2 linked regions of the Schizosaccharomyces pombe genome follow. The gene in region 2 interacts genetically with the main gene of each other region. Each region holds a gene or a part of one and is shown on either strand. Other genes may lie near its edges.

What was found. A genetic interaction does not mean that the proteins touch.
Region 1: mutations in mlo3 (region 2) and mex67 are lethal when combined (synthetic lethality), as found in Schizosaccharomyces pombe (one study listed by BioGRID).

Annotation. Positions count from the first base shown.
Region 1 is NC_003423.3:2,405,428-2,411,833, forward strand, and holds mex67 (nucleoporin Mex67), read right to left. Parts: upstream 4,695-6,406; 5' UTR 4,668-4,694; coding exon 2,877-4,667; 3' UTR 2,725-2,876; downstream 1-2,724. Other genes in the region: rpl35A02 (60S ribosomal protein eL33), read right to left, coding at 77-194, 326-534; DNA repair protein, SUMO-related Rad60, read left to right, coding at 1,405-1,507, 1,558-2,675; SPOM_SPBC1921.04C (uncharacterized protein), read right to left, coding at 5,624-5,977. UniProt on the Schizosaccharomyces pombe protein: Involved in the export of mRNA from the nucleus to the cytoplasm.
Region 2 is NC_003423.3:1,740,972-1,748,351, forward strand, and holds mlo3 (RNA-binding protein Mlo3), read right to left. Parts: upstream 3,778-7,380; 5' UTR 3,742-3,777; coding exon 3,142-3,741; 3' UTR 2,997-3,141; downstream 1-2,996. Other genes in the region: MAP kinase kinase kinase Byr2, read right to left, coding at 1-1,325; cyclin Clg1, read right to left, coding at 5,070-6,455. UniProt on the Schizosaccharomyces pombe protein: Has a role in the mRNA export process. Interferes with mitotic chromosome segregation when overexpressed.

The DNA.
Region 1 (6,406 bases), 660 kb from region 2:
TTCGATAAAATGGGATTCCCTAAATAAAATAAATCTAAGAAGCAGAAGAATTGTTGTGAACATAAAAATATTTTATTTAAACATTGGAGGGATAAAGCATGACACGGAGAGAGGCACCAAAGGTCTTGGGAGGAAGATTATGGGTGAAACGAGCACGAACAACACCAGAATTTCCATGAGGACGACTAACAGTTCTAAAACGTAATTAGTAAAGGTTTTGAATGTATTCGTTTAGCCAACAAAAAACGACCGTGAAAATATAGCATTAACGTTTCTTCATATTCTCCAAAGAAACGCAAGAATTTAATTACAAAAATAAACTTACCCCCAAATGACACGAATCTTGGATCCACGAACGGGCTTGTTGCTTTTGTAGACGAAGCAAATACGCTTGCCTAGGTAAAATTGGGCTTCTTCCTTAGAATCACATCCCTCAATCTTTACCAAAGAAGTTCCTGGGTGGATAACATGTTTGCTTCTTTGAAAAGAGAGATGTTTAGCTTTAACGTACAATCTGTGTCCCTGAGCAGGCATTTTGACTTGGTAAAGGCGGAACTCTTAGTGTGGTGATCCTTACCGTTTGCTTAAGCTGTGACTGCCCTTCTTGTGCTTGCAAAACCTAAGCTTGTGTTGGTAGTAAACACTTTCATAAATCTAGCATAGTGTAACGTACTTCATAATCTTATTGATTGCGATCATATAGCTTAATTCATTATATAATCTTAAAAAGATACTCTTCAATTTTTTAAAATTATCTCTCACTTACCAATACAGTATAGTGTAAAGTTTTTCTAATGATCAATATAAAGTAACGGGGACTAACTTGATAATATTCGATTTTGTTTACATATTATTGTTTAGTATTATATCTTGTACCTGAATAGTCTACTACTGAATATAGGAATATCGGCTGATTAAACCTATTCATTGTATCTCTAATAGTACAACAATTTGGTTTTATCTGAACTAAATAAAATTTATTTAGCGAATGAAGAACAAATTATGAATGGCAGTAATGGACGGACGCAATGTAGCCGTCGTAAGGTGAGCCAATGTCATTGAAATTCATCAAACCTAATGTCTCAGTACAAGAAGCAAAGAGTTTTCAAATTACTTAACCTAAAAAATGAAATTCTATAGACTTAAATCTGTTTGCTAAGTGGACAAGATCGGGTTTTGCGTAAGTAAACAAACTTCATTTCGAAGATGAGTTGGAGGAATGTTCATTGAACTTTTTCAATTGAATTATAAAATTATTATATAACTTTCAAAATCGATTTGTAATAAACTTGAGTGAAAACAAAACTAAGCTAAAAATTACCTAGTTTAAGGTGTGTCGCTACAAATTCTCGTTAAATCCATAAGAAGCTTTGTGGAACCACCGTAATTGCTAAAACTCGCCAAATGGACAACCTAGATGAAGATGACTTAGCATTCTTCTCAAAGCCTATTAAAAAGCCTCCATTAAACTATGCCAAGCAATTAATAGCCTCTTCCTCAGATTCTGGTAAGTTTTAATTCCGATTGCAAAGTGTCAGCTTGCTTACAACATTCTAGAAGAGGAAAGTGAACTTGATACCAATAAACAAGCATTAGAACACATAAATGCACAGAAAAATATAACTCATAATGAAAACAAAAGTGCCGAACCTTTATCTCGTCAATCCACTATTTTAGATGCTGATGAAGGCAACCAAGACGTTTCAGACACTACTCCTAATGCGTGTTTGAATGAAGGTAGGCACTCACCCAAAAGTGCTATCTCCTGTGTAACACAACCGGTTTCACCAGTTTATAATACTAGGGCGGCCGCTAACTTGCGAAACAACAGCATTAATAGTGAGGCTGCGCTTTCTACGACTTCATCACTGCTGGACGATGACTTTGCTCGTAGGTTAGAGGAAATTGATCGGCAAGTTCAGGAGTTTGAAAAATCATCAAGTGATATGGATGTACAAATTCACACGCATAAGAGAGAAATTGAAGAAGACGATGACAATACTTCGGCTGATGTGCCCCTTTTAAAGCATTCAAAAAGTGACCACTCAACGCTGTATCACTCCAAATCGGAATTCTCAACAAATGAACCAGTTATTTCCGTCGTTCTCCAGTTAGCCGTAATTGGACAGAGAATTCCAAACAGCAATATCTCTCTTCCCCGGGACTGGGAGGCACCGTTATTTTTCAAAGTTAAGTCGAACCAACAGTTTCGTCGTGTCAGAATAGCGTACTCTGAAAGAAAAAAAGTAGATAACGTTGTTCTTGTATTTCAAAATCAAAGATTATGGGATTATGGAACCCCAAAGGGCGCTGGTATGCTTAAAGTCGATACCCGTTTGGTTGTGCATGCCTACTGTCACTCGGATTTTATATCACTCAAAAGAATAAAAGAATTGGAAGTGGAAAAGTTATCCTCGGTAACTGAAGATTCAACTGCTCAAACGTGTAAACTTATAACGTTGCTTTTGCGTTCGAGTAAGAGTGAGGATCTTCGTCTCTCAATACCCGTCGATTTCACTGTTAAAGATTTGATTAAGAGATATTGTACTGAAGTAAAGATTAGTTTTCATGAACGCATTAGATTAGAATTTGAAGGTGAATGGTTAGATCCCAACGATCAAGTGCAAAGCACGGAACTTGAAGATGAAGATCAAGTTAGTGTTGTTTTGGATTAAAAGGATATTTGGCTCTTACTTTTACCATTGTTCTTTCTTATATTTAATTACCGCCATAATACTTTTATAGAATGATCACGAACGACTATGTATAAATCTAACTTATTCATTTCATCAATATGTACCATTATTAAATAAAAGTTTCCATTTCCCCAGTTTGTAATTTTTTAACCATATCTATCTATACACGTCACTAGAAGTTCATGAAAATGCTTCGGCTGGTATAACATTTCGCGACTTTAATTCCAAAAAAGATGCTAGAGCGCTGTTGTAATCCCAATTATTTTGCTCACAACACATGTGAGCATAGTAATCATTTAAACCTGTCTCCGCCTTAATTTTTAATACAATTTGTTGTCTAGTGTCTAACATTGCTTGTTCCGGTCTTGGCTGTACAATATCACTAGGCTTTGAAGCAGACGCAGACATGGCATTATTGCTTGTTCGTACACTGCTTTGACCAGGTAGCCACCCGAGCGATCCAGCAAATGAACGAATGACTAATAAATCATTTATAATCAATATGCCTGTGGAACCTCCCGGCAAAATCAGCAAAGTTCGATCAAAACTTCGTAGAAGTCGTTTGTTTTGTGGTTCCTCAAATTGCCCATGGACAACAATTTTGATGGCTGCACCAACCGAAGGCAGAACCAGGTTCCAACCATCAAAAACCCATTGCGAACGGTCTGATAAATCGTGAGCCGTAGCAGGTAAGGATTTTACAGCGTTGCTTATTTCTTCGTGCCCGTTAAATAAACGAGATTTCGACTCCTTCTGTGATTGTGAGTAAAGTAGATTTCTGCTTTTCATTTTGTAAGCTCCCCATTTTTTAGTGTCTGTTTTCTGAGAAAAGTTCGTTCTAACGTTTGAAGCGTTCAGAGAGATTGAGAAGGTAGCATTTGGACTGTATAATTGATTGACAAGTGCACTTCTATTCTCATCCCAACCTTTAAAGAACGCAGCCAAAAAAGAATTGACTATTTGTTCGGTTTCAACCTTATCAAAGAAAGATTGATAAACCGGAAAAGGGACGGTAGATTGAGAGGCGATAATCTCTGAATTTATGCTGTTACCATCTAAAAGACGAAGCTTCGGAAAACGCGAAACCATTTCCCGTTGATAATCCATAGCACGATTAGCAAAGGTTGTGACAATCGGGTTTCCGACAAGAACAAGCTCTTGGAGTTCGGGAAGCTTTGTTTTGGGGGACCATGGATCCAAGTCAGATAAAGAAGTAATCCGGTTATTAGCAAGACTAAGGTTTAAAAGTTTAGGCCATGTTTGTGCTAAAGTGGTTACGGCAGTCACCGATTGTAAGTTGTTATCCGACAAACTAACTGATATAACGTCTGGAAAGTTTAAAGAAGCAACCTTCATTAACGCTGGAAACATCTTACTCTTAGTAGAAGCCTCTGCTAAAATCCCCATTTGCTTTAAAAGAGGATCTTGTTGCAAATTTCCGAGGTCCAAGAATTTAGTAGCAGGTTGATAACGGGTTTGCAAAAACTGGCGTAACTTTTCAATGGTCTCATTTGTGGATTGTGGTAACGTTTTTGAAACATTTCTCTGGGCTTGTGTTGCTAATGCAGATAATGAAGGAGCTGAAACAGAACGAAATGATCGTTTTGTCTTTGCTTTTCTATAATCTTGAGTAACGTTAGAAGCTCCATCGACCCTTCGTATAGCCAAATGATCACCAGCAAAAGCCGCACCATTTAACCCGTTCAAACGACTAAAGTCTTGGCTTTTAACTACGGCAGTGACCGAAGCCGGAGAATATGAAATGTTCATTAGACGAACCTTGACTTTTCTCCAAACAAAGCTTATTAAGTCGTCCTCAGAACCCTTGGAATGACCAGTAATAACTACGGATATCGGGGGTTCACGCGTGGCACGAGGTTTGCCTGGTGTACGGCGTTTCTCCAATGGTGTATCAATTACCATTTCATTCTCTTTAACAGCATTACGACGCTCCCGCTTTCTACGCAACATTTTGCAATTATGTTGAGTAGTAAGTGTGAAGAGAAAGAGAGTAAGTGGAATTTAATTCAACATTTTTAACTTCAATAGTAATAGGACAAGTATAAGGAGTAGAGATGTGTACGCGCAAAACTGCGTTAAACAGTTAGACTATTTGTGATATAACGAGAAACTGTTAAATGCGTTATTCGTCTTTTGCTATGCTTGTATCGATGGAATTTGTGGAAATACATTTTTTGTTTTAGTTTATTTTATTGAAATTCAAAAAAATTTATATGAGGCTAATATAAAATCGTTTACTGTTTTTTTGTAAAATCACTATTGATATAACTCAATCGACCACCTAAAATTCGACCTCCATTAACATGAAAATTCAGGAGTAAATTTTGAAGTAAAGAACAGTTTAGTCAGTAAGACTTCCGAACACTAATTCCTTAAGCAATATATCAATATATGTGTCCCGCTAATTCTTGTTTTATTGCATGTTTAAAGAGATTGAGCACTAAGCAACGTAAGTTTTTGATAAATCTGGGTTTCATGAGCCAAAAAAAATAAACATTTTTTGGTTTTTTTTATTTTTTTTTTGGCTTGGATATCTATTTTTTGTTTAAATCGATTATCTACTAAATTTATGTATTCATTTTAATGGAGAAGCAAAATTACTATTTACAATTTTTTATTATTAACTAACAATATGATCGCCTGCACCTTTATCAATTCATATCATAAAAATATGTACTTACTTGTGAAAAAATGCCTGCTTATTTTTTTTATTTTCTATCCAGTATAATGCTCAATTCTGCTCAGTTATTGATGTAGACAATATATATAATATATACGTATAGAATAATTAATTGTTGTATAACAATGAAGGGTCAACTTAAAAAATGAAAGGACTAAATTTCTACAGAAATCGATTAAAAAAGTGTTATTTTATTTTCATTTATTTATTTTGAACAGCACTTGTTTTATACTTTCCTTGACATTATCGTAACCTCAATAGGATAATAACCTGAAAATGCAGCAAACAAATTACTTAAAAGGGTAGGGTTTAAAAAACAGTCACAAAGGTCTATAAACGTGAGTTTGTTAAGTTGAAGTTTCCCTATCGTGCGGTTATATACCGACGCCCACAATTCGTGTTGCTCACTTTTCTTTTTCTTTTTCCATGGAATGGTTTGAGCGTCATACGTGGGCCAGAGCCATATTGGACATCTTAGTGCCCTTACAGGAATAGTCATATTGATACTTTTTCTGTGGGTCGGTAGTTCAGATAGCTTTTTGCTTTGTAGTATAAGTTTTAAATTTTTTGTATGACTCATTAATGTTTTTTAATTCATTTTAATATTATTCATGTTATGTGTTGGTTGTATTTGTCTGTCTTGTGTAAATTTTGGTTGTATTCGTGGGTTTTAAAAACCTGCTGTTTACTTAATTTTGAATTATCGAAATTTCTTCCATTTTTTAGTGTTATAGGGACAGCTTGTTTGTCGGACAGGATACTCAATGGGTTTAACAAGCTACGTTCATTTCTATTTTGTCACTATTATGGCTGTAATGTGAAATATCATAGTTGATTGTGCCGTGGATAAAAGAAAAAATCCTAGTGTTCTTTGCTCTGTCTTCTCCACGGGTATTAACAATGCACATGCTGTATGTCGTTTAACGTTTAGATGCATTTCATATTTGTTCACCTTATCGTTATCTCTGTTGTATCTATTAAGTTCCCACACTGGGGCACTAAAATGGTG
Region 2 (7,380 bases):
TCTAAAAGTTTGGCATGGCGGTCTTTTGATTCAGAAACAGAATCTAAGATCACTTGCTTAACAGCCATCAACTCACCACTAGATGCATTCATACCGAGATAAACTTGTCCAAACGATCCTGAACCTATTAACGCACCACGTATCCATTTGATAGACTGATCATCAGTGTCCTCTTCAAGTGTATTTGTGTCCTCACTTGTAGTGGAAGTTGGAGAAATTGGGGATGGTTGCTCAATAAATGATGGGGATGAACCAGGTGAAAAGGAAAGTACTTGATGGTTGCCATGCGCGCTTTCTGAAAAAACATTATACTTCGACGATTTTTCATTTCCGTTGGACTGGTATAAAGGTTCCACACCAACCATGGTTATGGATTTTTGAAGCGATGGTGGTCTAGAAATACGCTGAGTAGAAGATACAGTAAGTGGAGGATCAAATCCCCTATCAATCCTAGGAAGTCGGTTAACATCTTCAGCAACAGAAATCCTCAGAGAGGAAAGAGGACAAACCAATTCGGAAGGGCGAGCCCGCCGAGAGCTTCTTGGCAAAATTTCTTGACCAAAATTACCAAGATTGTGCCCTTGAGACGTACGTATGCTAAGGTTTCTACGAAGAGAGTTTGATATTGTTTTTTCCAGTAGCTTTGGTTGATGATCGGGGAAAAAATCGGAAATTCTAGAATTAATAAGCTCGCTAGGAGGTCGCTGGTAGGATTCAAATGGTTTCGCATTATTTGAGCGGACACTTCGTTTCTGAGTGCTCGTGGGAAGAACAGAGGAAAGTTTAGGAGAAAGGGAGGACTGTGATGATAATGCTGCCGGTTGAGCCAATTCAATCTCCCAAGAACGGCGGAGGTCTTCAAACGATGGACAAGGCTTTTCTTTTGGCACAATAATTAACCTGTCGCGTTCCGGTGAAGATGAATTAAAACAAATTTGTTTAAATTCTTCTTCAGTAATCAGCTTAATTCGACTACTCTGTGAAACGCATACAATGAATTTTGAAGCATCTTCAAGGCTAAACTTTTTCAAAGCAATAGCGAGTGTTTTCTGGTAATCTCCTCGTGATTGAACTGCTCGAGTTTGCCCGTTACAGGCAATAAACCTCAGTATACATGGACGTGGAAACTCTCGTAAATAGTCTCTTTGTTTTAAAAATTGTTTGCCTTTGGCGGTGTTTTCAATGCCTAGGTCTTTCAGTAAAGGCAAGGTTAAATGATTTAGGTGTCGTCCTTCAATGTTATTTTGTGAAAATTGTTCGATATACTTCTCCAATCCGATACTTTTCAACCATTCTGCTACCTCCTTCGAGGTATAATATTCCATAAATGCAGGAAAGTGGTTGTACAACGTATAACTTCTAAGTTCAAAGTTGGTAGCATTTACGTTTAACCTGCCTCCCTTAGTCTCGTGCTCTTTGACGTAACAATATAACTATACACTTTATAACCGATATTAGTTTCACTAAATCTCATTACCAAAATGAAGCTGCCAAAAAATTCGTAAAGGCTGCTTGTTTATATAGGTATTGCAATTCTCACCCGGCACAGATTCAGATATCTATTAAATAACACTTACGTACATATACGAGTTCCACAAGGAGTCTAAATATCGACGAGAAATTGTAATCAGATATTAAAATCTAAAACTTTCGTATAAACCATGTGTAGCAAGTGAATAATAATCTTTCTCTTTATCTGCAATACAAATGTCGTTAACCACCGTTCAGATACTACTGGTTTAAGGTACGAACGTAAAGTACTGTTTTAACAATTTCAATGTTTCAATCGGTTTCAGAGGACGGCAAGAATCGCGCACTAAAATTAGCAACCCGCAAATGCGCATTCTGAAAGCGATTTTTGGTTTGTAACACAATCACGACGGATCGTACAGATCTTTCAAAAAAATCAAAATTATAAGTGCCAAAAATATATGTGTGGGACTTCAATTTAAATTGTTTGATGTGACAATGGTTCGAACATAAAACCAAGCAATGTTTACCAAAACAAATTTCGAGATACGGTCGGCAATTCAACCATAACAATAATTTACAAATAATAATAAACGTCGGAAGCAAAAAAAACGGGAATGGAAGTGACTAGGGTTTAAAAGTTTCAAAAGAATGCATTGCGCGTAATTCATCAATCAGCGAGTTTAAAATGCAATCGTGGAAAAGTTCTATAAATGTGGTTTACATACAAAGGAAGGAATGAAGCCAGTTCTGTCATGTACAATTTGACAAAGATGAAATAGAGCCATCGAACGCGATGATTTTACGAATAGAAATTCCTCATCCAAACAAGCCGTGCCACATATAGTAAAACAAGACTTGGAATAAGTGTGACGTGAACCAAAAACCATCATGAACATAATAAACACAGTCAAGTTGGGGTATGGAAGCTTTGACTTTCAGCAAACATGCAATAATAAACCCTGTCGGTAAGCTCAACCCAGTATAGTTTAGCAACATGATGATCAAAACAGCTGCCTTGTACAGTAACTTAGATTAAATAAAGTAACAGTAGCCGAAGCTACCATTATCCACCTCTTTTAACCACTGTCTACATAGGTTTTGCTTTTGTATTAAACAAGAAGGGAGCGCTTATCAACCATAAAGGATTTCTGCACAAGAGCTGATAAAGTTGCAAACATAACAGGTGAACAGATATGCTAATAATGAACTCGACTCAAAGCTTAGCTTCTTGGTAGCGTTTAAGCTTGCATACTACAAATCAACAGATATGTCAAAAGTTAGCAAAAGTCAAAACCTCCAACCCAACGTTAACCACCGAAAAAGAAATAAGTAACCAAATTCGTTCGATGTCAATGAAACATATATGTCTATCAAAAAAGAGATATAAATAAAAAATTTAATGAAATTCTTTGAAATAATGGCATAATGGCAATATGACCCAATACACACCATATATACTAACAAGAACTGGTTCAGCTCACTTCTCCAAATCCATTACGAAAGACCCAAAACACAAAAACAACTTCAAGAACTGCCATTCGAAACAGCATTATATTGCCAATATTATTTAACTGAGGGAGTATGTTGTATAGGTCGTTATTAATACCAAGAAGCATTTGACATCTTCAAAATATATGTATATATAGTAGAATCTTCAAATTATTAAAGTTACTCCTTCTCATTTGATCCAAAATAATCATCCATCTCCTTGTCGAGCTCTTCGGCGGATTTTTTAGGACGATTAGGAGTTCTACGGCGGCGTGTAGTCTTCCGCTTGGAAGATTTGGCGCCATTCTTGCTAGCAGTGGCGCTAGCGTTGCTGGCAGGACTTACACGTGCAGCCAAAGAATTCAATTGACGACTAGGATCAAGGATTATCTCAACCTTCATTTTTCTAGTGCCATCAACCAAACGACCCTCATACTGTTCATAAGCTCGAGTGGCATCACCAGGACGAGAAAAAATGATAGTTGCAATACCTTTCGAACGACCGTTGGGACCGTAAGCCAAGGAAACGCGTTTGCAAGGTCCTATGGATTTCACAAAAAGCTCCTTAACTTGAGCCTCGGTAACGTCAGTAGGTAAGTTAGAAACAATAATTTTAGATTCCTCAGAAATGACGGATTTAAGGGCAGAGGCAGTGTTCACTGCGGGTTTCGCGTTCTTTGTTGGCTTTGGCTTGTTAGAGCGCGCACGACGCTTTCTAATACCTCCTTTAGGCTTTGAAGCAATTATGGCGTCCAAGGACTGATCTAATTCCATAGACATTTTTATCGAGTTACTGTTGGGTAGTTAGTTGTTGTTAGGTGGTAAAGTGGCGGGTGGGGTTTACAACTGATCAGGATCTAGGTAAGGGTAGTACACAAGGTGTCGATATTTAAAATTATTATTTTGTAGATTCCTAAATATATTTAGCGATGTTGAACGCTTACTTTAAAGTCTTCAGAAATTTGACAAAAAAATAATATTACAAATTAAACTTACTTTACACTTTATTGGCATCAGAACTAGGATGGACGCGTTCACTTATAAAAGTTGAGAGATTATTGATAAAACAGAATTTATTGTTTTTTTGGAAAGCAATTTTTGTAACCATAATACCAAACGTTTGATATGATGCCTACACGATTAGATAGATGCAAACGCTTCGCCGCTTCTTGGTAGCTTAACAATGCAGAATCTAGACAGAAGAATAACGATTATGCAATTTTTAGAAACACGGAAAACATTCAAAGACAACATAATTCAGAATTAAAAAGCACGATTCAGTGCAACAGAATCAAGTATAAGAGATTATATAAATCCGTTATCTCACTAGTAGACATACGACGAATGCGCAATAAAACTAGGTAATCATAACAAACAGTTTGGGAGTTGGAAAATCGCAATAAAAAATTTTATGCTTAATCCTTAGAAAACAGCAAGCAAAGGTTTCTCATTTAAGTATCAAAAGGAGAAAAAATAAACAAAATAAGGACAAAAACGATGCCCGAAGTAAAATCTTTGCTAATGAAACAGAAAAATAAACTCAAAGCATCCATGGGCCTTTTCATCTATTCACAATGTATTTCTTGATGAAGCTAGTTGTATAAGTAGACTACTAATTTTTGAAGGCGAACTTTAAAAAGGAAATCCGCGATCCCTATAGTAGTAGCGGATGTATATACATCAAGCAGTATTAACAAATCAGAATTGCATCAAAAGATATTCCAATAGATAACAAAGCCACACGAGAAAGCAAAATAAAAGTCCAACGACAAAAATAAAACAGATACTGATAAGAAGTTGGTTCCTTTTTTTCGGTATACTACTTTTCAATTTTTTTTGGGAAATTTTTTTTTTCTCTGTTAAAATTTGAAAAAATAAGAAAGTAGAAAAGCAAGATCAAACGGCAAATTAATTTCAAGAGAGCCGAATTCATCACGGAGATGATTAGAGAATACAATATGACGGGTTAAACAAAAGTTCCCGTCATACAATATGAAAAGAGAAAAAAGTTACAAGAATAACAAAAACACGTAAAGTGTTTATAAGCGCAAGGAAACGAAAAACAAACCCCGTCAAGCAACAACACCCGCAGAAAGTAAGCACGATCACTAAGTCATTGCATAGCGATTGTACACTGGATAATATCCCACGGGTGTATAGGGATAATAGTAGTTGCAATTAGAGCAAGAACGTCCAGAAGAGGGCGATGGTGGTGCGTTGGTGCTCAACGTAGTAGGGCTATAAGTTTTTTGTTCACCAGAGTATGTAGCGTTTGAGGAAGTAAACAAAGAATAAGAAGCACTCCACCACTCCCATGCCTTTTGACCACGAGGACCGGGACTAAGATTCCAGGACATGCTAGCTAGCCAGTCTTGTTCAAAGCTGTTCAACAAGGCAGTACGGAAACCAGTAACTTGCGACCAGGATTGATTGGTAAACGTATTGTCATCCAAAAACTTATTAGCCAAAATCAAGGCGGTCGTTAAAAGAGCACATATTTGGAAGAATAACGACTCCTTAGTCCACTGGTTTACAAAATCAGTCGTTTGAGATGCGGCGTCAAGACGATCGGAAAGGTATGACAAGGCAAGCAAGCAAGAGGCACGAGGTAAACGCGTAGACGTCAAAATTTGTGTAACGACCTTACGGAAAGAAAACACAAGACCAGGTAAAGAGTTAGCAAGAGAATGCATTTGAGCATTATTCAGGAAACGAGCATACAACTTACAAGTCATGATAGACAAGTATTCCACCATTTGATCCATCTTGTAATCCAGTTTAGCAGCAACACCTCCGGTATAAACGGTTTCTTCCTGATCCTCCATGTTAGTTTTGCAGACAGGAGAAATACGTTGTTGAACGTTAGCAACCGAAGGCATGTTAAGATTACCTGGGATTGTATTATCAGTCTCGGAGGTAGTAGTGGCGGTATTGTTGGTTACAGGCACATCTGCTACGGGATGTCGAGACTGATAAAAGGAAGGAGCACAATTGTTAGCAATCAAAGGGGCGGAAACGTTGTTACATGCAGCTGATACATTCACCGAATTGCCAAATTGATCTTGGTTAGGATTATAGGCAACGGCAGAGTCAGGCATATAGCGTTGCTGGGAGGGTGGTGGAGGTGCGGCAGATGGAACCGACTGATAAGATGGCCAGTAATAGTTTAGAGGCGCAGAAGGGTAGAGACGTGGTTGAGGTTGCTGTAAACGGTGCTGCGACAGAAGGGAAGGAACAGCGGAAGGATGATGAGAGGAGGAAGGGATGGAGAAGCCCGACCTTACCGAAAGCGTATCGGGCACAGAAACGCCAGGTAAGAAGGACGGACGACGCTGGCCAAGACCATACATAGGAGCATGACTCAACAAAGCAGCAACCGAAGAAGCAGAGTTTGCACTATTGCTGGACGAAACAGGAGCAAACATACTCAAGCCGGGGGCAGCCAAAGGAGGCTGAACTTGAGAACGTGAAGTGTGCTGATAAGGAAACGACATTGCTGAAGAATTTCGAAAAGGAAAGCAAATTGAAGAATTAAAAAAAAAATTTTTAACTCCTTTGCTATTCTACCTAATCAAGTCTTTTTCGAGTTTTGTAATCGATTTCTTGAGTACTCCTTTCAAGGAAAGAAGAATACAAAGGAAGAACGATAAAAAAAAATGAAAAAGAGATAAAGAATGCTCAACAATAAGAAATTTACCCAAGAGACAGGAAAAAGACTTATTAACACTCACTTCTAGCAAAACCCGACCAAGGAATGCTTGTTTCGCTGGCAAATAGACGAGGCTTAGTAAAAAGCTCGACTTCTGCAAAAAAACTGCTAATATAGAAGGAAAAAAATAGGATTGAACCCTCCAAACTAAATTTTACGGTGGTTGGTTGTGCGCAGGTTCTGAAAAGCTGGTAACGCAGTTGAAAATGCTTGCAACTTAGGAAAGAGAATTTTTTAGGAATAAAAAATTTCACTTTGTTAAGCACTGAAAAATAGCGTAGCGTTGAAGATTATTCAGCAAGAAAGTTAAACCCAAATTAAGATATCTAACGTAATAGATCGGTTAGATAACTTTATGGATTTTAATTAGCAATTGCCGGTGAGGAAAATTGGGAGCGAGGTAAACAAACAATGGGACAAGCAGGAAAAAAATCAAAGAAAAATAAGTTAAACGTAGCAAGACAAACAATAAGTATGTAAAGAGGAGAATTTGAAAGTTATCTAAATAAAGAAACAACTTGAGAAGTAAAAATCGAGTAGAAAGTGAAATGAAATGGAAGGAGCAATTAAAGAGGAGAGAATAAACAAGAACTGAGTATGATAGACGAAAAGTAGACGGAAAAAAGAAATTAAAGAGACAAGAGAAAATCAACTGGTGGATGTCTTTGTCGTATAAGAAAAGATGTATAAATAGAAATCAAAGATTAAAA